Linked DNA regions of Rhinolophus ferrumequinum. The protein of the gene in region 3 purifies or fractionates together with the protein of the main gene of each other region. This does not show direct contact. Links are inferred from orthologs where the notes say so. Each region holds a gene or a part of one and is shown on either strand. Other genes may lie near its edges.

What was found. The genes of interacting proteins can lie anywhere in the genome.
Region 1: the proteins of LATS2 (region 3) and LIMD1 purify together in Homo sapiens (affinity purification with mass spectrometry; 3 studies listed by BioGRID and IntAct, with this or other methods). This does not show direct contact. The link is inferred for Rhinolophus ferrumequinum from reciprocal best matches to the Homo sapiens genes LATS2 and LIMD1.
Region 2: the proteins of LATS2 (region 3) and MOB1A purify together in Homo sapiens (affinity purification with western blotting; 9 studies listed by BioGRID and IntAct, with this or other methods). This does not show direct contact. The link is inferred for Rhinolophus ferrumequinum from reciprocal best matches to the Homo sapiens genes LATS2 and MOB1A.
Region 4: the proteins of LATS2 (region 3) and AJUBA purify together in Homo sapiens (affinity purification with western blotting; 3 studies listed by BioGRID and IntAct, with this or other methods). This does not show direct contact. The link is inferred for Rhinolophus ferrumequinum from reciprocal best matches to the Homo sapiens genes LATS2 and AJUBA.

Annotation. Positions count from the first base shown.
Region 1 is NC_046300.1:9,550,894-9,557,936, reverse strand, and holds the start of LIMD1 (LIM domain-containing protein 1), read left to right. Parts: upstream 1-4,038; 5' UTR 4,039-4,786; coding exon 4,787-6,182; intron 6,183-7,043. UniProt on the Homo sapiens protein: Adapter or scaffold protein which participates in the assembly of numerous protein complexes and is involved in several cellular processes such as cell fate determination, cytoskeletal organization, repression of gene transcription, cell-cell adhesion, cell differentiation, proliferation and migration.
Region 2 is NC_046296.1:17,798,613-17,806,259, reverse strand, and holds the start of MOB1A (MOB kinase activator 1A), read right to left. Parts: upstream 3,006-7,647; 5' UTR 2,769-3,005; coding exon 2,755-2,768; intron 1-2,754. UniProt on the Homo sapiens protein: Activator of LATS1/2 in the Hippo signaling pathway which plays a pivotal role in organ size control and tumor suppression by restricting proliferation and promoting apoptosis.
Region 3 is NC_046287.1:104,818,744-104,826,695, reverse strand, and holds the start of LATS2 (serine/threonine-protein kinase LATS2), read left to right. Parts: upstream 1-4,944; 5' UTR 4,945-5,039; intron 5,040-7,952. Other genes in the region: histone deacetylase complex subunit SAP18, read right to left, coding at 4,439-4,548, 4,694-4,822. UniProt on the Homo sapiens protein: Negative regulator of YAP1 in the Hippo signaling pathway that plays a pivotal role in organ size control and tumor suppression by restricting proliferation and promoting apoptosis.
Region 4 is NC_046289.1:73,541,554-73,548,636, reverse strand, and holds the start of AJUBA (LIM domain-containing protein ajuba), read left to right. Parts: upstream 1-4,078; 5' UTR 4,079-4,422; coding exon 4,423-5,458; intron 5,459-7,083. Other genes in the region: C6H14orf93 (uncharacterized protein C14orf93 homolog), read left to right, coding at 149-568.

The DNA.
Region 1 (7,043 bases), on a different chromosome or scaffold from region 3:
GTATCTATTTGGTTCATGGTTCAACACCCCCTCCCCCAGAACGTAAGTCCCAAATAAGACAGGGGTGTCTCTTGTGTTCACTGCCATATTCCCAGCACCAGGAAAAGGACCCAGGGCATCCTAGGTGCCCAGTGACATTTGCTCAGTGAGTGAATGAATGCATGGTGAGGGCAAGGCCCAGGAACAGCGAGGAAGTCAGTGTGGCTGAAGGGGAGCAAGCTGGGGGCATAGAGGGAAATTAGGGTGTCCGATCATGGAGGGCCAAGGGGAGGACCTGACACTAAGTGTGATTCAGGATGCTGCTGGAGGATGGAGGCTTTGGAGCTGGGGAGGGACACGATCTGACAGATGTTACTGAGATTCTGGGCAGGTCAAGTTGAACATTCCACGTTTCGTTACACAAACGAATCAAGTATTCTCTAAATAATGAAAAAAAAATTCCACATTTCATGAGTGTGTTCATGGGCAGACAATTTTTACATCTGCATGCTCATGAAAATAGACTTCAGGACTAAAGGAAAACTGTGTGTTGATACTGGCTTCTGTTACCGCGGCGGGGCCCCGGAACGAGCATTGCCCTGGCATGGCTTCACTGGTAAAATAGAGCATAGGACAATTCTTACTCAACAGACAAAACAGCATGTTATCGGTAAGCACTTAAACAAAATGATGCATGCTCTGCCTATTTACTGATAAATATCTAGCTGTTCAGTAACTCATTTTATAAACAACTGGTGTGCACGTATTAACACATTTTTGGAGATATTAATCTGCAGACGTTTCCAAGCACACAGAACAGTCCAAACCGGCCTATCTATATTAAATAACCACGCTGTCCTTCTAAACGCGGGGCACAGAATTTGGAAGCATCTCTGCCCTTAATAATTAAATACAGCAGTAAAACCACCAGCGGCCCCCTGGCCATTTCTAGCATTTCTAAGTACCTTTTCACAGCAGTATATTATGAGCTGTGTTGCTCATGGGACTTCATCTTTATAAGCTGTTTTGTAAAAGTACAAGGAGCTCCACTGACTAGGAGGGGGCAAGCTGGTTTGGTCAGGAAATACGTGGATCGTGGGTTCAGGTGCATGTGTTTAGTTGGTGGAGATGGTGCAGTTACTTCTAGACCTGCAGTGGGAGTGGGGCGTATTGTCCATGGTTTCTGAGCACTCCAGGCAAACCAAGATGGGGGCAAAGGAGGGGGGCAGGAGGGAACCATGGAGTGTGAGCCTAGGTTGCTGCCCAGCTAGGATGAAAAGAGAAGACTGATTTGCAAAAGGCCCCGGCTGTTGTCAGTGGCTCCTGCTCGGGGTTCCCAGCTGCAAGCACTGAACACCCAGAGAGCTGGCCCTGGGCTCATTAGACTTTGCACAGGGTCGGCCCCATGTTCCCAGTGCTTTGTCGCCTCCATCCCCAATACTAAAGGGTTAGGCTACGTGGGCCACAGCCTTCCACTCTCATAGATGTGCTCACCTCTGTGTGCACCAGGATTCTGCCACAGCGCCTTGAGGAAACATGGGACTTAGGACTCTAGTGGCTCCCAAGTGTGGCCCCTGAGCCAGCAGCATCAGCACCTGGAAACTTGTTAGAGATGCACATTCTTGAGCGCCCACCCCAGAGCTGCCGAATCAGAAACTCTGGAGGTACGTAGGTCCAGCAACCAACGTTTTAAGATGTTCCCTAAGGAATTCTGATGTGTGGTCAAGTTTGGGAATCACTGATCTAGAGCAGCTCTAGGTGATGCTGATGGAGCTGGTTCCAAGACCATACTTCGAAAACCACTGCCCTGGAAATTTCATCAGCAAAGTATTCAATTTATGAGTAATCCTGTTATGAATTAACAAGTATTCCTGAATACCTAAGGGCATAACAATGTTGAATAATGCTTGCCTCTGAACAAGGGGATTGTGGGCAAGTTTTAAGAAGTTTACGTATCTCTGTATTGTTCAAAGTTGTTATCATGAACATAATAGTATTTTATACTTTTGTAGATTAAAAAAATTAAAAGATAGTCTAAAAGTAAAAATACCTCACTCTAGTATCCTTCTTTATAGCAGTGCTTCCCAAACTTGATTGTGCAAATAAACCACTCAGGAATATTGTGAAAACGCACATTCTGGTTCTGTCGGTTGGGGTGGGGCTCAAGATTCTGCATTTTCAACAAGCTCCCTGGTGATTCCAGTCTACTGGCCCAAGAATCACACTTTGGGTTTGCAGAATACAAAGCATTTTCTTGTATATTATTTGTTCCTTGTCACAACCCCGGCAGATATATTCGCTAATTCCCTTATTCAACCATTAGATATTACTATGTACCAGGTACTGGGCTTACAGATGTGGTCTAATGAGGTTGAAACCCAACCAACCACCAAAAAAGCCTTATGTAAACTGATATAGTAAATAATTAAAATAGTGATCAGGACTGATCAGGAAATTAATTAGAGGGTGCTGAAAAAGAACAACAGGAATGACTCTGGGAAGGCGGAGATGGGAAGGATGAGCCTGAGATGTTCAAGGACAGGCTCTTGGCACACTCCAGGAAGCTCCTGCAGCTAGAGCGCAGGGAGGTGAGACTCCGAATCAGGTGAGGGGGGGAAGCAGGGCCTGCTAGGATGGGAGCCCTGTGGCAACGCTCCGATTTCAATCTTTCTGACGTAGCTTGGAGGGTGTGAATCAAAAATGGGTTCTATAGGAAGTCACCTCACAGGGTGATCTGATCATAAATTCCTAACTGGGAAGGTTGAGGTGGGTGGTCAGGCCCCAGGCATATAACTTTTTAGTGAAATTATATCTTTGCCTTAAGCAAGCCCTGCCCATGGTTTCTGTGCATCTAGGGTTAACCCACAATGAAATGCCTCTTTTCAGACCCTTCCTTCTAAAAAAGCACGACCACATAATCTTAATTATCCTGTAGGCCGGTGGCTGCTTTCTCCCACCCTCGTGTAATAACCATCCTTAGTTACCTCCTTAATTCCAAATGCATAAAAGAAGCTGCAAACTGTCATTTCTGGGGAAGCGTTTATCTCAAACTGTTGAAATCTTGATTCCTGGCATAGCTTCTGTTTGGCCCAAATAAACTTTTATAAAATTCTCTAAGGTTTCAACGTTCTTAAATTGACAAGGGTTTAAGTAGGGAAGTGACTGGTCTGATATTTGCCTTAGGATCACTCGGGCTGCCGTGGGGGAAATGAAACCTCTCCTGTCACCTCGGAGTTGGTGCTGGGAGCCGGGAGCCCGGGGCCATATGAGGAAGATCCCGAGTCAGCCGCGCCCTCCAAAGTCACGGATCTAAATGGGGGTCAGGAATGCCTATACGATAAGGAGCCATCAGGACACGCGTTTTAATTGTTGCCCTGAGGACCTCAGAGGCCCGCGCTCCCGGAACAACGTGATCTTTCAGAGGACTTGGGCGCCCATCCACGCTTTGCTGGTCACGACGGCATCCCGGACATTTCCCTTCTGTGCCTTAGTCTCCCCACCTGTCAAAGAGGACGTCGGGCCAGCCCACGGGTGACACCCCGGGGTCTCCAACCGTGCACCTTGGGCAAGTTGGGCGGCGGGCACCGCTGGATCAGAGGCGGCGTCCTGAGGCACACGCGGGGTTGGCTTCCCGCCCGGGAAACTGAGGCACGGTGGGACGAGGAGCGCGCGCCTCCGAGACTCCCGCAAACTCAAAGCGGCACGCTCTCGGGGCCACGCAGGCTGCCCAGGTCTCCTGCCAGAGGTCACAGCGCGGAGGTCGGGGCCCAGCGCTGCCAGAGACCGGGCAAAGCCGGGACTCGCAGGGGACGGCAGTGGCAACGGGGCCCCCCGGCGCAATCCTGGCGCTGGAACGCAGACGAGCGTGCGGGACACTCCCCCGTCCCTCCCACGTCTCCCCAGCCTCGCGGGGCACCGGCGGCTGCGCCAAGGTGCCGGGCGCAGACCTGCCCCGGGCGCCCGCCCTCCCGCGCGCCGGCCCCGCCCCCCGGCCGCGCCCCCGCCCCCCGGCCGCGCCCCCGCCCCTCGCTACCTCCCCCGCCTCCGCCTCCTCGCAGGCCCGGGAAGTGCTCGGCCAGCGACCGAGCGGCAGGGACGGCGGTCGGCGCACTCACTTCCGTGTCCCGCCGCCCTTCGGCCCGTGCGCGCCCAGCCACCGCCGCCATCGGACAATAGGCCGTCCGCCCCGGCTGCGGGGAACTTCCTGCCGCGTCCCGGGCGGCCCGTGCGCCGCAGACCGCGCTCCCTCCTGGCGCGGGCCAGGATTACAGCTCCGGGGCAGCCGCCAGCGAAGCCGCGGGGACCGAGCGCCCGGGACGTGCCTGCGACTCTGGCCGCCGCGCGTTTGCTCCGGCGGGACGCGTCGGCGGCCTCTACACTTTCCGGCGGAGCCGGCTTCACCCCTGCTCCGTACACCGGCAGCTGCCTTGTGGGTTTCCGAGTTGGGTTGCTTAAAGAGGATGTGATTTTTTTTTTCTTTTCTTTTTTCTTTTATGATTTGAAAAAGAGAAAAGAACCGCACAGCAAGCTGGGACAGCGAAGCGCCACCATCTGCCCCCACGTGGACACCTCCAAGGGGAAAGGGAGTTGGAAGCCAACTTGGTCCAGCTGGCCTTGCGGCCTCAACTTCGGCTAGACTCTAAGGCCCGGGGTCATGACTCTCACGCTGGGCAGGTGGAAGGCTTTACTTCTCCTGGGCTGGACTTGAGCCCCCCGTCCTTCTCCAGCATTACCCCCTCCTCCCGTCCAAACACACGCATCCACACTACCCTGCGCCTTGGTCTACGCCCCCTCACCGGTTGGCGACATGGATAAGTACGACGACCTGGGCTTGGAGGCCAGTAAATTCATCGAGGACCTGAACATGTATGAGGCCTCCAAGGATGGACTCTTCCGAGTGGACAAGGGTGCAGGCAACAACCCGGAGTTTGAGGAAACACGCAGGGTGTTTGCCACCAAGATGGCCAAAATCCACCTCCAGCAGCAGCAACAGCTCCTGCAGGACGAGTCGCTGCCCAGGGGGAGCCGAGGCCCGGTCAATGGTGGAGGCCGCCAAGGCCCACAGGCCCACCGGGAGGTTGGTGCTGGCAGCAAGCTGACCATGGATGGTGCTGCCAAGCCCCCTCTGGCTGCCTCGACAGCAGCTCCTGGGACAGCCACCGCCATCACTGCTGGGCAACCCTTGTACCCACCCCAGGAGCAGAGGGCCAGGCAGTATGTCCATGGCACAAGGCCTGGCAGCCAGAACTGTGGTTCCAAGGAAAACATGGCAGGTTCTGAGATGTCTACTTTCCCCCGGCTGGGCCCCTGCGAGGATCCTTCCTGCCTCACCCATGGAGACTATTATGACAACCTCCCCTTGGCAAGCCCGAAGTGGGGTGAAGGGCCAGGAGTGTCCTCCGGCATCAGGCTGGGTGTAGGGAGTGGGTGGCCTGGCCCCCCAGGAAGTGATCCACCACTGCCCAGACCTTCCAGGGACCATCACCTGTACCAGCCTCAGCTCTCCCCGAGTTCCAGCAAGTCATTCGAGAGTGGCCAGGATGGTGGTGGTTGTGGCCGCAGCAGTGAGAACCCAGCAGGTCTTTGGACCACTGCCTCTTCCCAGCGGGTGAGCCCTGGCCTTCCTTCCCCAGGCCTGGAGAACGGGGCCCACCTGGGGCCCGCTCAGCCCAGGACCCCCTCTTTCTCAGCACCACTGGCCCTGAGCTGCTCCAGTCAAGGAGCTCTGCCAAGAACAAACTCGGGGGTGGGGAGTGAGGTCTCAGGCATAATGCCCAAACCAAATGTGGACCCTCAACTCTGGTTCCAGGATAGCCCCAAACCTTACCTTTCTAGTTCTGGCCCATCATCCTTACCGGCCAGCATGGACAGTTTGCAGCTGGGTGCGGCCCCTGGCCTGGGTCCCAAGCCTGGCTGTACTGACCCTGGCATTGGTCCCAAGCTCAGCCCCACCAGCCGTGTCCATCCAGTGATGTCCACCCTGCCTGAGTTATCTTGTAAAGAAGGTCCCCCTGGCTGGTCCCCTGATGGCAGCCTGGGGCCTGTGCTCCCAGAGAGCCCCAGCACCCACAGAGTGAAGCTGCCCTGCCAGACCCTCATCCCGGGCCCTGAGGTTGGGCCCTCGGCCGCCGAACTGAAGTTAGAAGCCCTCACCCAACGTCTGGAGCGTGAGATGGACACTCACCCGAAGGCCGATTACTTTGGTGAGTGAGAGGTTGGTGGCATTGCCCACAGTAGGTGATGGAGTCCCCCACGGGGGATGCTGTAGCTCTCCTTGAGTGGCCGGCCCCTCCCTCCTGCCCTCCCCATTAAATTTGGCTTCCTTTTTCAGCTGTTTCTTGTGCTTCAGAAACTTGAAAGCATGCGTGGGCAGAAAGCAGATCTTGCAGCTGGGGGTTACCCATGTGCGAAGGGTGAAACAGGGTGGGATTGCTCGTGACTGCTTTTAGAAAAGGGAAGTGCTATGACTTTGGTTTTCAAGGGTTTCGGGAGTGCCTCAGAGCCCGTGCAGTGACTGGCCTGTTCAGGACTTGAATGCAGCAGCTTTCCCAGGTGCCAGTACCCCCGAGCGGTGGTGCATCCATAGTCGGTTGGGCCAGACAGGTCCAGCTATTTGAGGACGGGTGGTGGGACAGGGGCTCTGTGCAGCCATGTGCGCATGTCTGTCTGTCTGTCTATAGGTACTGTGTGCACTTGAGGCAGCCGTAACAGGAGCATGGAAGACTGTTCTAGAGCAGTGGTTCTCAAAGTGTAGTAGTCTTCTGGACCAGCCCCATCCCTTTGCCTGGGAACTGGTTAGAAATGCAAATTATAGGGCCCCACCCCAGACCTATTGCATCAGGAACTCTGGGGTGGTACCCTGCAATCAGCATTTGCAGAGCCAGCCAAGTGGTCTTGACATGCCGGGAAAATGGAGCTCTGTGGACTAGATAGGTCCCTGCTAACTCAGCCCCCATCCAGGGTTCCAGCCAGCAGCCAGGTGACTCCCTGTTCAGGGCTCACACTGGAAAGCTCCTTGCTGGTTTTGCTTCAACTTGCAGATTGGGTTTTATGCTCTTTTTTTC
Region 2 (7,647 bases), on a different chromosome or scaffold from region 3:
GAAAAAGGTAAGGAACCCTTTAGGAAAACAGGTTAAGGAGATGAACAAGCAATTAAGAAGGAAAAATAACATTGAGCAACGAACATCTGAAAGGCTGTTTAATTAAAGTAAGATTTATTTTTCCTTAATCTGAGTGTCAAAAATTAAAACCACCTAATTAAATGTGTTATAGAGAAATTCGTACTTTAATACACTATTGGTGAAAGTGTTAGGTGTTTGGGGGAGGGCAATATGGCAGTATATGTTAACACTGAAATGCTCCTCAATCTGTCCCTTCCACTTCTAGGTATCTTAAGATATAAACAAGGATGCGTTTTTCAAGATTGCTTTTAATGGTAAAAAACCTGGAAACAATCCTAAGGTTTATTAGAAGAATGAATAAAACTATGATATGTCCATGATACATCTGTATCATAGAGTACTATATAGTAGTTAAGAACAAGATACAAGAACAAGATAGAACTACATCTATGCACATGGAAAGATCTCAAGATATGGTTAAACACAAATCCAAATGTATAGCAAGAACCCATTTTGTAAATGCATTGCAAGTGTCAGAATCGATACACCTAGGGGCGGCCAGATGGCTCAGATGGTTAGAGCGTGAGCTCTTAACTACAAGGTTGCCAGTTCGATTCCCACATTGGATGGTGAGCAATTCCCGCATGGGATGGTGGGCAGCGAGCGTCCCCTGCAACTAAGATCGAAAACAGCGACTGGACTTGAAGCTGACCTGCGCCCTCCACAACTAGACTGAAGGACAACGACTTGACTGGAAGCTGATGGGCCCTGGAGAAACACACAGTTCCCCAACATTCCCCAATAAAAATTTAAAAAAATTAAAACAAAAAAAAAGAATAGATACAGTGATTACTTCTAAGAAGGGGTAAGGGAACAAAAACTGTGGGCTTTCACTTTACCCGAGTAATTTGAATTTTAAATAAGGCTGATTAAGAAGTAAAAAGGAATAACAAAAACAGTAAAAATCAAACATGGAAAATTCTTAACATGCTAAATACCTACATTTAATAGGGAAGTACTAAATTAGAAGGAATGACCCTTCACAAATAGAAAGCTGTGAATGACAGGAAGCTACATATGGAAAACTAACAGAATGATGGCTTATGATTCAATATGATCTTCATCTAAATTAAGAATTTTGTGCTTCAAATGGCACTATCAAGACAGTGAAAACAAAACAAAAAAAGAAAAACCAAAAAGTAAATAAATAAAAAGACAGTGAAAACAATCCACAAAATAGGAAAATATATTTGCAAATCATAGATGTTATAAGGGACTTGTATCCAGGATAAAGAATTCTTACAACTCAAAAACAAAAAGACAAACAACCCAATTTAAAAATGATCCAAGGTTGTCAACTATAATTAAAAATAAAAATGGTCAAAAGATTTGAAGACATTACTCCAAAAAAAAATTTACAAATGGCCAATAAGCACCCAAAGCTGTTCAACCTTCTCAGTCGTTAGGGAACCGTAAATTAAAATCACAATGAGATACCATTTCACAACCATCTAGGATGATTATAATCCAAAAGACAACTAACAAATGCTAGCTAGGGTGCTGGGAAAATGAAACTCAAACAGTGTCGGTGGGATGCAAAATGGTGCAGTGATTTGAAAAAGTTTGGCAGTTCCTCAAAAGGTTAAATAAACATAGTTACCATGTAACTCAGCAATTCCACTTCTAGGTATATGGCTAATAGAAACGAACACATACATCCAATACAAAAATCTGTAGTACACAAAAGTTCATAGCATCATTATTCATAAAAGCCAAAAGTGGAAACTCAACTGTCCATCAACAAAACAAGGTTTAAAACAAACAAACAGCCTTACATTTAGGTCTAATGAGCAACCAAGCAACTGTGCGTCCACAAACAAACCACTAACTAAACATTAACTCATAAGACTTGGGGGACTGCTGTAGTAATATAGAAATTTGTAATTAAAATCTAAATCATACAGACTTTCTGACATACTTTGGAGCCTATACCCTTAAAAAATAATCAAAAGGAGGGGATAAACGATTTGGACAAAGATATTTCCAGTAGTGCTCTTTTATAATAGCGAAAGAATCCAAATTTCTCACAATAAGGAACTATGTAGATAAATTCTAGTTATGAAAAAATATGTAACTTAATAAAGTTTAATAAAAATGTCACGTATGTGGGTGATGTCCGTAACTTTTTTAAAATGGATATTTATCCAACCATACAACACATATTTAAGCAATATACTACGTAGAGGGAGCCGCTTGAGAATAAGGTGTTAGAGCAATGCTTCTCAAACTGCAGCACTCCACGTTTTCCTGGGGCGGCATTTTCCCGCTGGGTTCATTTAATACTGACGTTAATAAAGCTGGACAAACGGTGGAGTAAAAAGCTAAGTCAGCAAAGAATCGCTACTAGAAAAGACACCAGCCTAGAGAAATGGGGAGCCTGCGGTAGGGCCTGGGGCTCCGCCCCCAGATCGTCCTTCCGACCTCAGGGGCGTTCAGGCGGAAAAGTTTGGAGGCCCTACCGGCTTCGGGGCCTTTCTGCTCCCCAGCCTTCTCGCTCCACTTCCTTTGCCTCGACCGTCAGCCTCGGCCCACGTCCTGGCCTGCCCAGTGGCCCCCAGCCGGGGCAAAGCAAGCGCCGGCCACGCCGGGTCCGGCCCTCGCCTCAGACCCTGCTCTTCCCCCTTACCCGCCCTCGGCACTCAGGTCTAGACCCCTCAGCCGAGCCGCACTCACAAGAGGAAGCTCATCTTCTATCCTCAGAGGGGACGGGAGGGGCCGCTGGCCCCCGCCGCGGTCAGGATTCGGAGCCGGCGCGGAAACCGGGACGGAGCCCACAGTCCTCAGCCCGCCGACAGCAGAAGCACTGGCCTCTGCTGCTCCGAGCCGGGGTCGAGCCGGTATAAGCCGGTGCAAGATGCTGCGCCCACCTCGCCGGCCTCCCCCACCTAAGAGATCTCAAATGCGGAACCAGCATAATCTCGCGAGAGAAGGCTTCGCTCTGCCCCGCCCCTCGCCGACAGGGACTGGACGCGCCCCTTTTCACCCCGCCCTCTTTTAGAGCTCACCCAGTCATCACCTCTCCCAGTCACAGCCCTCAATCCGGGCCTTGCTTCTCCCACAGGGATGGTAGTGTTGCGGCCCTGGACGGGGTGGGGGTATGCGTGGGGGGGATGGGGGTTTGGGGGTATGTGGGGTGCGGGTTGTGAGGGGGAGTGGCTGGCCTTGTATTTGTTGCTTTTGGTTTACATTCCCTGGATAGCATGGAGCGTCTATGAATGCTGCAATTGTGAAAATGTAATTTTAAATTGACATATATTTCATATAGCATAGAGGTCACACTTTTAAAAAAATGCTCCAGTGTTGTGTTTTTTTAGTATGTTCACAGAGTTGTGCAACCATCACCACTCTTTAATTCTAGAATATTTTCATCACTCCCAAAAGAAACCAGTACCCGTTAGCAGTCATTCGCCATTCCTCCCTCCTCCCAACCCCTGGCAATAACTGGTCTACCTTTTTATGTGCATTTGCCTACTCTGGCCGTTTCCTATAAATGGAACTGTACAATATATGGTCTTTTGTGACTGGCTTCTTTCACCTAACTTGATGTTTTCAAGATTCATCCATGTTGTATTGTAGCATATACCAGTATTTCATGCCTCTTTATGGATGAGTAATATTCCATTGTTTGAATATATTATACCTTATTTTATCCATTCATCTGTTGATGGACATTCTGTTGTTTCCACTTTTTACCTGTTATGAATAATGCTGCTATGAATATTTCTGTACCGGTTGGTCATGAGGAGAAGTAGACGTTACCACCCCAAAATATGCCGTTTAGGATACTATTTTAAGCTGGTTATTTTCAAGAAATAAAAGACTCTGAGAGAACTTTAATCTTCCCCCTAATTGCCTAAAAGAATTTAGATAGAAAACCTGCTCCAAATGGGAACTATTATCATACGTAACGATAATTTAATATGAATCAAGTGTGATAGACAGGAAGGAACCTAGCAAGGCCTTTTGATCAAAGTTTTCTTTGTGTCCCATTGTTTAAAATGACCCAGGAAACATTTATTTACCAAACTTTTGCTTTTTCATCTCCATGTGAATTGTCTTCATATCATTGGAAGTCCCAACTATAATCCTCTCTTCTCCTTAGCTCAAGATGGTATATAAGCCTTAAGTGTCCATCTGTACTCTGGTCCTACATGCTTAGGGAGCCCTCATATATATACATACGTAATAAATTTGGTCATTTTCTTCTGTTACTCTGTCTCATGTTAATTCGATTATTAGTCCTGCCAAAAGAACTTAGAAAGGTAGGAGGAAAATTATTTTTTCTTCCCCCACAGTCATATGGTAACTATATGTTTAACTTTTTGAGGAACTGTCAGACTATTTTCCAAATCAGCTGCACCATTTTATATTCCCACTGGCAAATATCTGAGGGTTCTAATGTTTCCACAACCTCAATAACGTTTGCTATTTGTCTTTTTTATTACAGCCACCCTAGTGAGTGTGAAGTGGTATCTCATTGTAATTTCGATTTGCATTTCCCTGTTGGTTGATTTTGAGAATCTTTTCATGTGCTTATTGGCCATTTGAAACAAATTTATTTTTATCTCACTTTAAAGTTACCTCAGACCCTCCCAAAGAACCATCCAACAACTCAGAAAGGGGTTCTGGTACAATAACAGTCTTTATTCAGTGTCTCCATGACATCACCATCCCTTTATTCCTCAGCACCCATCATCCAGATTCTGCACCCTGCCCACCCTCCCACAAAATCTTTTCTCACCAAGATCTCCACTGTCTTAGTTTCTAAATCCAATGGGCATTTTTCAGTCATTGTCTTACTTGCCACTTAGTTTTTTCTTTTCTTTTTTTTGAAGATTTTATTGGGGAAGGGGAACAGGACTTTATTGGGGGAACGGTGTGTACTTCCAGGACTTTTTCCAAGTCAAGTTGTTGTCCTTTCAGTCTTAGTTGTGGAGGGCGCAGCTCAGCTCCAGATCCAGTTGCCATTACTAGTTGCAGAGGGCGCAGCCCACCATCCCTTGTGGGACTTGAGGAATCAAACTGGCAACCCTGTGGTTGAGAGGACACGCTCTAACCAACTGAGCCATCCGGGAGCTCAGTGGCAGCTCAGCTCAAGGTGCTGTGTTCAATCTTAGTTGCAGGGGCACTGCCCACCATCCCTTGCGGGACTCGAGGAATCAAACTGGCAACCTTGTGTTTGAGAGCCCACTGGCCCTTGTGGGAATCAAACCGGCGGCCTTCGGAGTTAGGAGCATGGAGCTTTAACCGCCTGAGCCACCGGGCCGGCCCCCACCACTTAGTTGTATCTGGTCGATCCTAACAGAGTCCTCATTTGATAACAGTGATTTTATTTTTTTAAGAACCTCTTTTGTTTTCTCCCTATGATCTGGCTTCTATATGGTGGGAGTGTGGACATATAGAAAGGGAGACCATGGCCAGATTTGTTGGTAATAGTCTGCTTTAGCTAGGTGTTTTTGGTAGCAAGTGACAAAAACCCACACTGTTCATATTTCCATCAGAACTATCTTACATTTTCTTCCCACTAGATTGTGAATTCCTTTAGTGGCAGAGATATAGATTGTTCATTTAATCTAATGCTCAGCACAGTGCTTGGTACACAGAAACTACTCATTGAATGAATGGACATGTAGACTGGAAATCCCAGTCTAATAGAGGAGATTGATACAGAAATAAGTGGTAATCCGGCGTGGCCGGATGGCTCAGTTGGTTAGATTGCAAGCTCTGAGCAACAGGGTTACCGGTTCGACTTCAGCATGGGATGGTGGGCTGGCCCCTCCCACCCCAACTAGATTGAAGATGGCGACTGGACTTGGAGCTGAGCTGTGCCCTCCACAACTAGATTGAAGGACAACTTGACTTGGAGCTGATGGGTCCTGGGGAAAACACACTGTTGCCCAACAAAGTCCTGGAAAAAACACACTGTTCCCCTTCCCCAATAAAAGAGAGAGAGAGAGAGAAAAGTGGTAATCAGTGCAGTATTACCAGTGCTGATAAGATGAAAGACAAAGTGACTCAGTGCTCTTTCTGACTTGGCCTTTAGTTTTCTGGTTTTCTAGCTTCATTGCTCAAGGCTGTGCTCCAGCCAAACAACTCCTTCCTATTTCCATAATAAACCCTGGACCTCCTTGAATCATTGCTCCTGTTCTTGAAATTCTTTCTGGCTGGAATGACCCAACATCCTCATCACACCCTGTCCTTTAAGATCCAGCCAGAAATCCTCTTTCCTTCCTCTATAGACCTTTATATCCTTCTTACAACATACAGAGGGTACCAAAAAAATGTATACACATTTTAAGAAAGGAAAAAAACTATTAACATTGTAATACTCAATATATACTGATAACAAAAGGTGAATACAAGCCACGTTTGACTTCTGCAATTACAAGAGGTGCTCAAAGTGGTTACCATCAGCATCCAGACACTTCTGATTATGGCGAACTACTGCTTGAGCAACATTGACCAAAGTGTCCACTTGTATACATTTTTTTGTCACCCCCAGTACAATCACAATTCAAGTTTTTAGAAAGTAGTATTTTCATATTAAATAGCTCTTGTGTTAGGGAGTCGGAATTTCAGGATTTATGTTCTCTTGCTTTTCTGAAAATTCCATTTTTTCTCTAGTAAACACATACTTATATTATTTTTTACTTTTTATTTTATTTTAAGAGAATCAAGATAGAATAGTGACTAAAAAGCTTATATTTTGGAGGTGATGGTCTGGGTTTGAACCCTGCCACTGCTACTTAATAACCATATGACCTTGATTATTTTTATAACCTTTTGTCTCAGTTTTCTCATCTGTAAAATGGGGGGGGCAATCTCATAGGGTTGTGAGAATTAAATGATTTAAGGTATAGAATTCACTTAGACAGTTCTTGGAACATATATACTCTAAATCAACATTTGGTATTTAATAGGAAGAAATTTTGACATGTCTTATCACCTCTATCAGATGACCAACTTTTGGAAAGTAAATCCCTATTTACTTGTATTTTACATGTGCCTCTTGTGGGCCTTATATCAGAGTAGATACTCAGCAAATATTTGCTAAATGAATGCGATTGGATTTTTGCCTAAATATTATTTTAGACCAATTTTTTAACTGATGCAATCCCTGAATTTCAGAAGTTTTGTGTAGCTTGAGTAGTTTTATCTGTTTGCCCAGAGAGTACTTTCTCATTCTAAACACAATTTCAGTACCACAGTCCGTTTGTGCTTGCTCTTGTTGGTACCAAAGTACCAAATTGTTATTGTGGGGACAGAGCCAGGAGTGCAGTTTCCAGGCTCTCAGCCTCACGTGGAAAGGTGCTGGCTCAGGTAGTAAATGGCCATCAACTGTGATTGGATGGCCATCAGCTGTGGCTAGTTGGCCGTCAGCTCTAACCAGTGAGCCATTGGCCACTAATATAACTGCTGTGGCTACGCTAGCAGAAAATGGGGGCTAGCAAGAAGATGGTGGCTGAGCCAGCAAGTGGCGGAGTGAGGGTTGCAGATCGTGTGGCTCCTGTTTCCTGTGTCTCCAACCCAGCTGGCAGCAAGACTATAGTGGTGTGACTCCCCTAC
Region 3 (7,952 bases):
ATTTGCCCCCAAATACTCCCTTTACCAACCTCGGTGTTTGAAATTTAAGGAGTGAAAGTCAGACCGTTAGTGCTAAAAGGGGCTTCAGAATGACACATGGTAATTTTTGTTGCTATAACATCCTGGTGGCCTACTTATTTACCCCTTTAAGGTAACTAGTCCAAATTAATCCAAATACTTAAAACAGTCGTATTTCATTATTTCTAAGACACATACTTTTCCACATTTCAGCATCTGTGAAATCGCAATGCATCGTAGAATGCATGTGATAGGCAAGCTCTTTCATACAGATGTGCAGCTTCTCCTTTCTAAGATGGAATCCTAAAAAGCCAATGAAACATGAAAGTTTCAAGACTAAGCACATGCTCCTTTCACAATGTATATTTTTGCCCTGCAAATATTTATTTGATCTCAGAAATTAATATAATCCTTTGAGCTAATGTGGCACAAATGTGGAAAAATCTATTAAAAATACAAGCATCTTGGAAACAGTAACAAACCAGTATAAATTTCTGTATTTCTTTCATGGCAACTGGGAAGATGAAACAGATGACCTAAAACTTGAAACAGCATAGCCTGTAGGGCCCATAAGATGACACAAGGACACCAGGCACTGATGAAGAATTAAGAACTCTGAAACACAGCACCAGGCAGGGGGTCAAACGCCCAAGGCCATTTAGTTTTAACACTCTATTTACAAGCCTCGGCTTCACACTGAGTAAAAAACTCCAAATCGAATCTTTCCATGGAGGCTCCCACCAGCTCGGAGGTGCTCTGGAAACAAGGAGGTGCTCTGGAAACAAGCCGCTCCTCTCGTTACCATGAGAACAACCGATGCCCTCTCAATTGCCAGCCCTAAAGCTAAGCACTGCTCCCCTCTCCCCATCGTTACCCTGCTGTTTCCACCTGCTCAATACAGATCAAATCATTTTTCTCCATGCCCACCACTGGTGCTGTTTCAATCTCTCATTATTTAATTCCTCTGTTTACCCCTTCCCACCTACGGGGAGGAGTCCCACTGTTGGAGGACAGCAAAGAGCACGACAGCATGTGCCGCCAGGAGCAGCACCCAGGATGTCACCCCACTCCAGGGTTTGCAGTGTTGGGATTGCCAAGAACGACACGGACAACACTTTGAGAAGGAACAGCAAGACAAGCTTCAGACGTTACTGCTGGTCCCCCCACTGCCTACAGCTCTCACCTGCAGCCCATCAGACGGTCTTGCATGTCCCTCTCATGAGCAGGGAAGGGGCCACATGATGCTTGAGCAGCACAAAGAACATCAAGCCCAGGACAGGGACAGAGCAAAGCTCAGCACAGGCGGCGAGGGCCCTTACCTCTTTACAAGGAAATGACCCAGGCCCAAGGCCACTGTGGCCCTGTGATAGGCGAGAAGCTGTGCAAGACTGCCTTTCCCAACATGACACATGTTCATTATTGAAAGAGGGGAAAGCCATCTGCAGGAATGCAGTAAATTATATCCCACACCTCACCACCCAGCAGTAACCAGTGACGTTACACCACTTCTGGCATCTTTCTGTGCACATGCACAGTGCTACAGAAATTGATCATCAAGCGTGTTATATATGCTGAGACAATACAAAAAAAACTGCTTCAAATATTACACATATTTTTAAGAAAACTTGAAATTAACAGAAGGAAAAACTAAAGTCAAATTGAAGGAATTGTAAAACTTCGTAACGATGTTACTCTTCCTCTCAACCCTGTCCTTTTGTAGCTTATTTTTACTTTGTCCCCAGTGATCTCCAATGTTGGCCTGAAACTTGAGGCCCGAGTGACTTTCTTTAACCCGATATTCTGCTGTTTATTGTAATCAATTATTCCTGATATACAGAATGTACTTGTGTGTACCAAAAAGGATTCTCTTCCTTTCTACAAACGTTTTCCAGATTTTCATCTTGCTCAGGACGAACATGGGGAGCTGGTTCACACCTCTCAGTGAATAGTCCTCCTCCATGAGCCCCCGCCTGCCTGCTGAGGGCTGTCACCTAGAGCAGCTGGACTGCCAAGTGCACTTTCTGACTAGTCCACAGCTTGAGCACTCAGGTGAAGAGTAAACAACGAATACTCTACAGCGTAGTAGTAAATGCATTTCCGACTTACGATATTTCCAACTTAGCATGGGTTTATCGGGACATAACCCCATCCATGGTAAGTCAAGGAGCATCCTATTTGGTAGGTGGGATTCAAGTCCCATCAGTTGGACTTTAGAGATCATCCTAGATAATCCAGTAGGCCTGATCCAATCAGTTGAGGGCCGTAGCCGGCTGTGGACCCAGATTTCAAGCAGTGCCCTTCCTGATAGACTGCCCTACAGATGAGGAATTCAGGTCGCCGGGCAGCCCCCCCAACTGTATAAGCCAATTCTTTGTTATATAAATCTCTTAAAACTGCTGATGGTTCTGTTTTCCTGGGTGAACCCTGATACAGTGGCCTACATGATTTTCTTCCAGTAACCTGTTTAATGACCACCTAATCACAGGACACGTATCACTCTGGTGTATCTGTCTTGTTCCCAGCCCCACGCAATGCCCTGAACTTTTGCAAACTCAACTGGTTTCTGCTGGGCTCCTCTGGACTCCCACTGCCTTTTCCTTGACTTCTTAGGGCTGTGTACATTAGCTTCTCGGTCCAGTTCCAAAAATTGAGAATTCCTAAGATTTGTTAACCAACCTCCCTCATTCCTGCTTCTGGGAGAGGGACAGGTCTCTGCGCTACCTCCACACCAACCATCCAGTCTTTCAGAATCTGTTTTTTTGGAGGTATAGTATAAGGTTCTTTCCTTGTTTGTTTAGGACAGGAATTTTTCTAATCTTGATCGGGAGTAGAGGATCTATTGAACAATCTCACCCTGCCATCTTCACCCTAGTCTTCCTTAGCATTTGTTAGAGTGCTTTCTCGCTGGACTGAGCTCACTGTAGGGAGCGTCAGCACCATCTTTCCTTTATGCCCTGAGGGTCTAAGTACAGCACCTGGCAAACAAAATCTTATTTGTTGGAGAAAATATACACTTTAATCTTTGAACAGAGGTTTTCATCAACCCAGTAATAACAGTTCCTCCCTCTAACTGAAATCAACCTTCTCTGGCTTTATTCTGGGATGATATACTGAACTGGACTCATACTACTACATAAACTTAACAAGCCCCTTCAAAAAGACAAATAAGGTCCAAATCTTTAAAGAGCTGAGTTCTAGTATATTGGGCTTACAGTTTAAAATTACACACCTTTAGAGGAACGTAAAATACTGTGTGAAAAACAGTTTGGCGGTTCCTCAAAAAGTTAAACATAGAATGAGCACATGATCCTGCAATCCTACTTCTGAGTATAGAACCAACTGTATCCCACTTCTGGGTATAGAACCCAAAGAACTGAAAGCAGGCTGAAAGAGATTTGTACTCCCATGTTTACAGCAGCATTATTCACTGGCTGAAATGTACAAACAACCCCACAATGCCTATCAATAGATGGACCAACAAAATGTAGTATATCCATACAGTGAAATTTTAGCCATAAAAAAGAATTGTTGTATGTGACACCATGAATGAAGCTTTAAAACTTATGCTAAGTGAAATAAACTAGACAAAAGAACAAATATTGTGTAAGTCCACTTATATGAAGTGTCTAAAGTAGATAAATTCAGAGACAAAGTAGATTACCCTGGATATACCCGGACTGGTATAGAATTTCTGTTGCGAGGGAATGAAAAAGTTGTGGGAATAGATTAACAGTAATGGTGCACAATGTGAATATACTTAATGCCACTGAATTGTATCCTTAAAAACAGTTAAAATGGCAAATGTAATACACACACACAAAAGACAAATTTTAAAAAAGTATACCTTTCGTACTGCTACTAAAAAACCATTATGATGTCAATCAAACGAAGGAATTACACGTACATGCTGCTTGCTGTGTATAACGTTCCTAGTCAGACTCGGGGTAGGTAAGGTACACACAAGAGATACACATTCAGGGGCAGGTCTTCACTGAGCACACATCAAAATCTTTTCTATTATGCATCAGATCAGAAACCACCCCGGTTTTGCTGATATTTGATGCTACGGCAGTAAGGCTCAATATCACCTGGAAGTGCTCCTCGAGGACAACACACATCACTCGACAGCATGGCTGACCCTTCCCCGTGACTGTAGTACCATGTATTCGACCGGCAGCCCCTTATGGGCGGCTGCCGCATTTTAACGATCTGCGTGCCATTGCTCTACCAAGCAGCCATAACTCCACAACGCCAAAGGTTCACCATTAGACGCAGAAGCTTACAAGACGGGTCGGACCGATCTTTTCACTTAACAGCCGAAACTAACTCTGTGAGAGTGGCGCCCGCAGGCTCAAGTGGGGGCTGCTCCCCACCGGCCCAGGGGACTCGCCGGTGCCCGCTCGTCCCGCGGCCCACTCACCAGGTGTAGATCTGCAGCTCGCTGGATGGCACGTTCCCTCGGGAGAACTCGTCCATGCGGTGATGGCGGCCGTTGTTGGTGGTGAAGACGCGCAGCAGCAGCGGGCACGTCTGGGGGACAGGAGTAAAGGCAAGGGAACAAGCTGAAGCGGCGCGGCCAGCCTCCCGCAGGCGCCGCGGCCTCCGAGCCGCCCCCTGCGCGCAGGCCCCGCTCTCCACCCCGCCAGCCCACTGGCACCTCGTCCGGACGCCTCACCTTCTCCCGGTCGATCGGCTTCTCCGGCTCCTTCTTAATTTCCTCCTGGGTGACGCGCGACTCCACCGCCATCTTCCTCCTGTGGCCCGCGAGACGCTCGCTCTGACCTCCGACCCCGGCAGCTAGCATGAGAACGAAGTGTCTCGCGAGGAGAAGCTCGAGGCTTTATAGCAGACAGGGCGGGGTGAGGGTGGGGCGGGGCCTTCCGCGGCGCAAGCGCATTTTGTTGCGCGGTGCACTAACCCAGACAGGCCGCGCCTGCGCGTTGTGTTGTTCGGGAAGAGGCGGGCGCTGGCGTCCCCGCAGCGGAACTTCTGAGGGACGTCGCCGGACCTTGTTGGCCAAGGTATTTATGCATTCCCTGAAATGTTCACAGGCCAAATAAGCTCACGAGGGCGTATTCGCACGAAATTATGGAAACCTTAACGCAAAACGCCTAAGAACAGTACAGGAGGTCCTGTTGTGAGTAAGCAAAAACATGCCTTTATTAGCAAACTGTCGAGCTCTTTTTTGATAGAGGTAGGGTAACACGTGGTAAAAGGGCCCGAACGTGGTCCCTGAGTTAAGACTAGGGAGGCACTGCAAAACAGAGGGAACAGTGAGTGACCTGGACTGAGGGAAGAAAGGACTCCTCCCACCCCACCCCTACACAGAATTTCGGGAGCGGTCAAAGACCTAAGTGTGAACAGCAAAACTCGCACTTTCTGGAAATAACATAGTAGACCGTCTTCATGACCAATGGATAGGGATATGTGATACAAAAAGCACTAACCATAAAAGGTTGACAAAGTTTGCTAGATTAAAATAGAAAAAAAAACAACAAATCCTAACCTTCAGCATACATCATAAAGAAAGAGAAGCATAAATCACAGAGTGGAAGAAGGTATCAGGGGTGCATGTGATTGACAAGAGCTAGGGTCCGGGATATGAAAGAACTAAAGAAGAATTCCAATAGAAAAATGGGTAAAATCATTGATTTGAAAATGGAGAAATCCACATGGCCAATAAACATAAGGTGCTGAAGCTCATTACTAGTCAGGAAATGCATTAAAACCACAGTGATCGGCTTTAATTGATTGGTTTTAAACTACACGTACCTCTGGGTAAAAATTGGAATTCTGACAGTTGTTGGTAGACTAATGGGAATTCTCAAATGGTATATATACCACTTTGGGAAGTAGTTTAGGATTATTTAGTAAAATTGAAGATACGTATACTTTAGATCTAACAATACCACTCCTTGGTATATACCCTAGAGACAGCCTTGCTCAGCTGTATCCGGAGACATAAGAATGTTCTTGGCAGTATTGTTCATAAGAAAAAAGAGTGGAAACATCCCAAGTGTCCATTAGCATTACAGTAGTTCAATGAATTGTGGTATCTATACAGCAACAAAAATGAACAAACTACAGCCACATGAAACCAACTGTGTGAAACATCATGAATTTCACAAGCATAATGGTAGGTGTAAGAAGCCGAAGACAAAAGAATGTATACTATGTGAACCCATTCTTACAACATTCAAAAGCATGCAATGCCATATTGTTCAGGATTCATTTCCAGGTGATAAAACTATAAAAAGAAAAGCAATGAAGTCATTACCACAAAAGTCAGAATGGTCGTTAACTCTGAGAAAAAAATGGATTGTGACCATGGAGGGGCAAAGGTGTTTTTTTTTTTTATTGAGGTGGTGATTACACCGTTTGATTTTAAATTGTTCTTTAAACAGTACATTTATGTTTTATGCATTCTTCTGCATGAATGCTGTATCATGCTATTTTAAAAAATACCCCACCAAAGGAAAAAAAATGCCTATAAGTCAGTAAGAAAAAGACAATCCAATAGAAAATGGGCAAAGGGCATATAGGCCTTTCAAAGAAAACACAAATTGCATGTAAACATGAAAAAATGCCCAACCTCATGAATAATCATAGAAAAACGCACATTTAAATCACAATGAGATAACATTTCACAACTAGATTGGCCAAGATGGAAATCTGACAACCAAGTGCTATGAAGGAGATGGAGAAAAGGGAGTTTTTATGGGCTACTCTGATCTACTTTGGAAAAATTGATGTTATCTAGAAAGACTGGATATGAGTACACGTGAAGACCCAGCTATTCCACTTCTATGCTATGCCCCAGAGAAATTGTTACACATAGTCAAACTTTTAGAAACAATTTGAATGTCTACCAAGAGTATATTGGTAAAATGGAATACATAAAGTTGAAAGTAAATGAATGAATGAATATGCTCTTTTAAAAGTAGAATTAAAAAAGCAAGTCAGAAAAACGCAATGGGATTCAATTTATGCAGAGTTCAAAATTAGGAAAATATTCCCTGTCTCCCCCCACCCCCACACAAAAAGTACTGTTTAGGGAAACAAACACCACATGGTAAAACTATAAAGAAAAGAACTGGGATGATTAAAACTAAATTCAGGATAGTGTTATCTCTGAGAGTAAGCTGGATGACCCAATTTATGAAGGGCATCCTGGGAGCTTCTAAAATACTAGAAATGTGCTCTTTCTCACTAGGGGTGGGGGTGGTTTTTCATTTTTACATTGTAGCTGTACATTTTAGATACTCGTGTGATTTAGATCACTGTTAAAAATTTTTAACTATTATTTAGGGATAGGACCTTACATGCAGTCAATATCCAGTTTTTTACAAAAGATTAAATTTCCTTCAAGTTCTATGATTCTAATATTAAACCTTTTTCAAAACCTCCATAGTATAAAAATACAGACACATGAGGGCACTCTAACCAATAAACTAAAGGGAAACATTGAAACTGAAAATGAACCTCATGACCTCTTAGTGGTGACTGGGAGGTTTAGTCGCTTAGATGTAAGCTTTTATAATGGACCTTTCTGAATGAGGCTCTCATCAAAATGGGAGTCCTGATGCCTGTGACAGTGCAACTGCAGCTGTATATCAGAACAATTCAGGCTGACTTTCAGCATCCCTCAGTCTACCTACTTGGCTTTCTAGGTCCAGCACTGAGCACAAACTGTAAAATTTAAGTATATGCATCCTTTCTCTTTATAGAATTTACAAAGGAGAATTACAGTTCTCGGTGGTTCTGAGAGCCATCTCCTTACCAGTACATTTTAAGCCAGTGGAACAGAATGGGGGTTGCATTTGCTTGTCATGGAGTTGAATCTCTCACTTTACCCCCTATTTTAAGCATTTGAATGATTATATTGAAATGGTTTTTAAACGAACATTCTCTTCCTCAAGAGTCTGCAGTGTCAA
Region 4 (7,083 bases), on a different chromosome or scaffold from region 3:
AGGGTAAGCCAGTTCTAAGATTTGACCTTGGGGTTGGGTTCTCTCAGGCATGGATTTTACACAGCCTTCCTTTCATCCAAACCCTCTCCCCAAACCTAATCCACAGTGTGTTTCTCTTCCTAATCTCTGTCCTGTGCTCCTACCATAGCTTTTTGCCAACCGATCCAGTATCATGAGGCATTTCGGACCTGAGGACCAGCGTCTGTGGAAGGATGTGACAGAAGAGCTGATGTCAGATGAAGAGGACAGTCTTAATGAACCAGGTGTCTGGGTGGCCCGGCCTCCCCGTTTCCGGGCCCAGCGCCTCACAGAGCTCTGCTACCACCTGGATGCCAACTCTAAGCATGGCACTAAAGCCAACCGTGTGTATGGGCCTCCCTCAGACCGATTACCATCTGCTGAGGCCCAGCTCCTTCCACCAGAACTTTATAATCCTAATTTCCAAGAAGAGGAAGATGAGGGAGGTGATGAGAATGGACCTGTCTCCCCATCTTTTGACCAGCCCCACAAAACCTGCTGTCCTGACTTGAACTCATTCATTGAAATCAAGGTGGAAAAGGATGAGTGAATTCTATAACCAAGAGTGACTCTGGCTTCCGCCACTCCCCATGTCCCAGTAATGGGTGGCTATCGGGCTTCCCAGAATAATGAGATGTCCTTGCAGTCTGAGAAAGCAAGTCTGCCTCTCTTCTTAACACAGTCCCTACTGGAAGTGAAAGCTGGAAGCTCTGGTGGGATAAAAGGACTTATCTGGAAAGGGGACCCCCCCAACACACCCATTGTGAATGGCAAGCCAGAAAATGCTTATTTCTAAGCATAAACAGTGCCTCGGAAGAGCCTGGGATGAGAAAAGGAGGAGGATGGGTCTAAGAAACATGAGGCCTTCTTGACATATGCCTGGGTCTCTGAGTTTTGTTTTTTGTTTGTGTTTTTGTTGGTTTGTTTGTTTTTTCAGGTTTCACGCAAAGCTCTGGGGAAGCAGCCCTGGTTGTACTTGCTGCTTCTCAGTGACTTGCTCTGCAGTAGCAGCAGCACTGGACCCGTCCTGGGTAATACTGCCACCTGGTGGGCAGTTTCAGCCATGGGCTTGCTCCTCCTGAGCAGAATAGGGGCTCCATCCCTGTGTGGGAATTAGGGTTTAGATGTAATAGGTATTGGTTATTGAATTATATAAAGCAGACTTTATTATTCCCGTCCTACACATGAGGAAAGTAAGGCTTAAAGAGTTCTCATGTGTGACTGGCACCTGCTCTGTGACTGTGTGAGCAGGTAGTTTACAGGGCTTTGTAGCTATTTATTAGTCCTGTCAGCCAAGCTGTATTTTAAGGAAGGGGTGATGTGTGTGGGTGTGTGCGCATGCACACACACACATACACACACACACACACTAGCATACAAAACGTGTGCATTTTTAATAGATTGAGAAGTAAAAATGGATTTCCATTCAATCATTCATATAACAAACATTGATTGCTTACTAGGTGTAAGGCTTCTTAGAGTGGTGTTTAAACTGTTTCCTGAAAGATGGGGAGGAATTAACCAGAAGGAAAGGGGAGGCCAGGAGAGTGTTCCAAACATAGGCAACAGAAAGTACTAGAGAGTACAGACAAGGTGCAATTTTACTGCATAACACTTCGGGGAGGGGATGCTTAGCGAAGAGGTTGGAGAGGTAGAGGCCTTGTAAAATATCTTAAAGAGTGTAGACTTCAGTTCAAGGGCAGTGAGAAATCACTGAAATGTTTTAAGGAGGGAAACAAGATGATCAGTTTTGTGTTTTAGACAAATCACTTGACCTCAGGGTATGAGATGAATTCGAGGGAGAAAGTCTCCACAGCGAGACTTTTGTAGTGGTTCAGGACAGAAAAGATGGTGGCCTGACAGACACAGTGGTGATGAAAGGAGCACAAATATGAAAGATACTTACAAAGCAAAATTGATAGGACTTGGTTAGATTTGAGGTTAAGGGAGAACATAAGGTTGCTGTTCAGGTTTGTGGCTTAAGCAGCTAAGTGGTTAATGGTACCATGTACTCAGGGAATGCTGGAGGAGCCAGTTTTGGGAGGCAGGGAAGGTGAGGTCAGCTTAGGGTGTTGCATGCCTTTGAGACAACCAAGTGGATGGAATTTTTTAAGTCCAAGAAAGTCTGGGCCAGAGATACAGATTTGGGAGTCATCTGTATATACACGTATATAGTAGACCTTCAAGTCTTGGGGATGGAAAATAGGGCCTTTGAAGCTCCTGGCTCCAGTTCAGACTACGGACTGGTTACCCCGAGGTCATGAGCACTACTGCAGCATGCCTTCAGCACACACTTCTCCCCCCTTCACTCGTGTCCACTTCATGATACCCCGAAAACACAGTTGTTGATCCCAACTGTGCTCATTGTGCCACCACCAATTCCTGGACGGATGGGCCTCCTTTAATGGTTTCTCATCTTTTCATAAGATTTACTCTCCCATCCTCACCTCAAAGGAGCAAAGCTTCCAAATATTAGAGGCTGTTTGGACATTTTGGATGTAAATAATTGGAAGGAAGAATCCACGTCTCCTTCTCCAACTGGAGACAGCAAAGGAGGGAGACCCTTATGGTTAATTCTGAAGATGTCACTCATAAAAGTTCTGGATGCAATCTGATAGCTCACCTGCTACTACTAATGCTTTCAGTCCTCCCTGCTTTCAGTCTGATACTAAACTCTCCTCTGGATCAGAGAAAAGCTGTAGGCCTGACCAGGGAAACAGAGAGGCTGATTCTCAGGAGAGACGAGGCCAGGGAAACAATGCAGCTAGGACAAAGAAGCCAAAAAGTTCGTGCCAAATTAATTTCCCAAAAGATATTAACCTCCTTTCCTTCCCCATTCCCTAAGGCTACACTAAGATTATAAAGGTGTTCAAAATGTTTAGATGAAAATAATATGCATGATTTGTTTGCATATAATTTTCATACTCATTTACTCATCTAAATACAAAGGAGTCAGTTACCTTCTCCATTTTACTTCCTCCGTCCCTTGCCCCTTATGTGCTAGCTTGGGCAAAATCAGTTGGCTGGTATTTGGTTAGGTATATTCAACTTCAGCCTCGGTTTCTTCTTTTCCTTATCCTTGATCCTTCCAGTATGGCCAGTATCAGCCTCTTTTCCTTTTCCATCCCGGTCATTTTCACTAGCTATCTCCTCTAAATGACATTTCTTTTCTTCCTCTTAATACTTACTCTTTATCACCAATCTCCTGTGGGCCAACCAAGGGAGAGGCATTCGCTAGCCCTAAAACCAGGCCTTCTATCCCCAGTTATCTGAAATATTTGCTAAAAATTTCATTTTCCAACACCAGGGGGTGTCTATCCCTCTACCTGTCCTAACCTGAAGCTAGAGATTAGTCCCAAACCTTGTCCTCCTTTTACATAGACACTAAAGCTCCTTCCCTCCCTAAATAGAGCTTTGAGTTCAGAAAGTGGTGTCTTTTTGTTGCAATTTATCTCTCATTCTCTCTGGACTTGCACAAATTTGTCTTTTTCTTAGGCTATTCACCCTTCGGTCTCAGCACCACCCTCGATCCCCTTTGCTCCGGCTCCCTTTCGCTGTCTTCCACCACCTCTCTATAAAGACTTCCCAGCCTTTCTGGACTCTACGCACGCGGCATTAAAACTCTTTCTGTATCTACCTTCCTTCTTCTCCCTGTCTTCCTCTTTATGGATCTCTCCCTACTTCTGCGTTAGTTTCTCTCCATCTCTCCCAGTCTCCACACTAAGAACAAAGTCACGGTGTTTGCGCACAACATGCCTCGCGTCGTCCCCGTGCCGACCGCGACCTTCCACGGTGCCCCTCCGCGCATTCCAACTGCAAACAAAGAGTCCCCCCCAAAAAAACTTTCCTGTCCCAATTCATGAGTGACGTAGTAGCCGCTGCCCAAACTTGCCCTCCTCTCTTCAGTTGGTGGATCTCCACCTCCAGGACAGTTAGCACCAGCTCCCGTCGCCCCCTTCAGCGAACCAGAGATCCCTGCGCAGACACCCTCGTTCCTCTCGCAGTCGGCGCTCCGCCCCTCCGGGAAAGTAGATCCGGCCAGGCAGACAAAAGTTTGGGAGAGGAGTTTGGTCTGTGCTGAGTGTGAAAGTGAGCGGGGCGGGGGCCGAGCAGAGTGGGGCGGCGGGGCAAGTCGACGCGTGAACAGATTGACCTGCGGACGGGACAGCCGCGGCTGTAGGCCCTTGTAGACCTGCTTAGCTCCTGATGCGCGGGGGGACGCAGCCCCTCTCGCTGGGGGATGCTGTGGGATTACTGGCGCTGGGCATCCGGGCCGCTGGCTAAACCTGTGTGCTTACCCTGTGCCCCTTGGGAACCGGAGTCCGACAGCAAGGAAAGAAGCGGCCGCCGAGACGCTGCAGGGTGCCGGGCGGGAAGGGGGCTGGAGGCCCCAGGTCCGAGGGCATGGAGCGGTTAGGGGAGAAAGCCAGTCGCCTGCTGGAGAAGTTAAGACTCTCGGACTCCGGCAGCGCTAAGTTCGGCCGCAGAAAGGGTGAATCTAGCCGCTCTGGGTCTGATGGGACCCCCGGGTCGGGCAAGGGGCGCCTGAGTGGGTCGGGGGGACCTAGGAAATCAGGGCCCCGTGGAGCTACTGGAGGACCTGGGGATGAGCCGCTGGAGCCAACCCGGGAGCAAGGCCCCCTGGACGCTGAGCGGAACCCGCGCGGCTCCTTTGAGGCGCAGCGCTATGAAGTCTCCTTTCCCGGGGGCCCACCTCCCACCCGGGCCTTGCCTCTACCTCAGTCATTGCCCCCCGACTTTCGGCTGGAGACCACGGCCCCAGCCCTAAGCCCCCGCTCCAGTTTCGCCAGTAGCTCAGCCAGCGACGCGAGCAAGCCGTCCAGCCCCCGAGGCAGCCTGCTGCTGGACGGGGCGGGGGCTGGCGGAGCCGGAGGTAGCCGACCCTGCAGCAATCGTACCAGCGGCATCAGCATGGGCTACGACCAGCGCCACGGTAGTCCCCTGCCCGCCGGGCCATGTCTCTTTGGCCCACCCCTGGCGGGGGCTCCGGCGGGCTATTCTCCTGGAGGGATGCCTTCCGCCTACCCGGAGCTCCATGCTGCCCTGGACCGACTGTGCGCTCATCGGCCCGCGGGGTTCGGCTGCCAGGAAAGCCGCCACTCGTATCCTCCGGCCCTGGGCAGCCCCGGAGCGCTAGCCGGGGCTGGAGTGGGAGCGGCAGGGCCCTTGGAGAGACGAGGGGCGCAACCCGGACGACACTCGGTGACCGGCTACGGGGACTGCGCTGCGGGCGCCCGATACCAGGATGAGCTAACAGCGTTGCTGCGCCTGACGGTGGGCACCGGTGGGCGAGAGGTCGGCGCCCGTGGGGAACCGTCGGGGATTGAGCCGTCGGGTCTCGAGGAGTCGCCGGGTCCGTTCGTTCCGGAGGCGCCCCGGACCCGGATGCGGGAGCCGGAGGCGAGAGAGGACTACTTCGGTGAGTAAGAAAAGTGGTTAGGGACAGGAAGGGACCCGTCACCACATTCTGTTCCTCACTGCCCCGACCGTCCACATTGCCGGCGCGGGGAGGTCGGAGGCGGAGACGCGGCGCTATTAAGAGGCCAGAGGGATTTCCCTTCCCACTGGATTTCAGCTGGACTAGGGGCTCCTTATTTCTGCTATATTGTAACCTGATTATCTCGTGAATCCCAGTTCCCCAAGCTTAGAGCCTCGGTTTTTCGCGGTAGCAGGCCTCGTAGGGAGGGGACCTAGGGGCAGTGATAGCATCCCCCATCTTGCTCCCCCCTTGGCGGCGGTGCCCCAGCAGGCTTCTGCGCGCTGCGCCCCCACCCCGGCCCAGGCTCCGCCCGCAGGAATTCGGGGAATGCGCGGGGGGGTCGGGGCGGGCCGGCCGCGTGCGTGCCGGCTCCTGTCCCGGCGCTCCAGGTGCCCGCGGGCGGGGCCGGCCGCCCGGCGCTGGGCAGAGGGGTGGGGTGCGGCGGAAGGGAGGGGGGGGCCTGCTTCCTAACACGCGCCGAGCGGTGGCGGTGGTTGGGTAAATGCAGCCTGGGAGGGAGGACGAAGCGCCCTGGAACGGAAAGCAGGGACCCTTCTGCTGGCTCCCTCCGGTCCTGCTGGCTCAGTGTGTGCGTGGGCATTTAAGCGGAGACCTGGTGGTGTCAGTTTCTATTTTTCCCATCCTCTGGAAGTCAGGGCAGAAGCCATGACCACCAGGACACCATCGCCCCTGGATGGATAACAACCTTGTGGAACTGCCAGAAAGAATCTGGCATTCATTTCTGGCCATAACTTGCCCAGAATTCAGGCTAGAATTAGCCTCTTTTTTGTGGCTGTTAAGGACACCTAGTCATATGCTCTCTCCCACATGCCATTACCTTTGAGAAGTACTGATTATGTCTCAGCTATGCGGGGAGGGGAATATTGGGGTCTTGAAATATCTTATAGCCAAGACCCACAGGCACCACTTCATATATAAAGAAATACCAATCACTGTGGTAGGAAGAACAGAAAGAAGCCAGGGCTATGGGCTTCTTCAGTTTTCCAGGTATCTCCTCACCTTTCTCACCATCCAAGTTCCTGCCCTGGATGGACCCCATGCTCTTGACCTCTAGAAATGTGAATAGAGAGGGAAACTTGCCCAGGGAGGGAAGTTGAGGAGGTACAGAGGTAGCAGGGCTGAACCGGCCCTGCTGAGTTCGATCCAATACCACCATCCTTTTCCCACTACCCTTAGAGGGGAAAGCCCGGAGCAGATGATGCTTTTTGCTCAAGGGAGACTAAGTAACAGGATCCTTTTTTCAGTTTCCTTTTGAGGCCCAGGAGAAATGGCAGTTGGTGGAAAGAAGTCTCTTTGGCTAAGCCATCAGAGCCAAAAGGAAAAAAGAGCTCAGAGAGAGTGCTATAAAATGGCAGGAAGAACCTAGGTGTGGATATCCTGGGTTAGAGGAGGTGAGGCGGACATGCCTGAGCAATTTGCTCTGGTCTTCCTATAATGTTAAAAGCTTCCCAAAGAAATGGCTCTGACAGGGCCCCCTGGCATGGCAAGCTTGGGACAGATCTACACTTCAATGAGGCCACACTTTGCCCCCAGGGGTGGGGGCC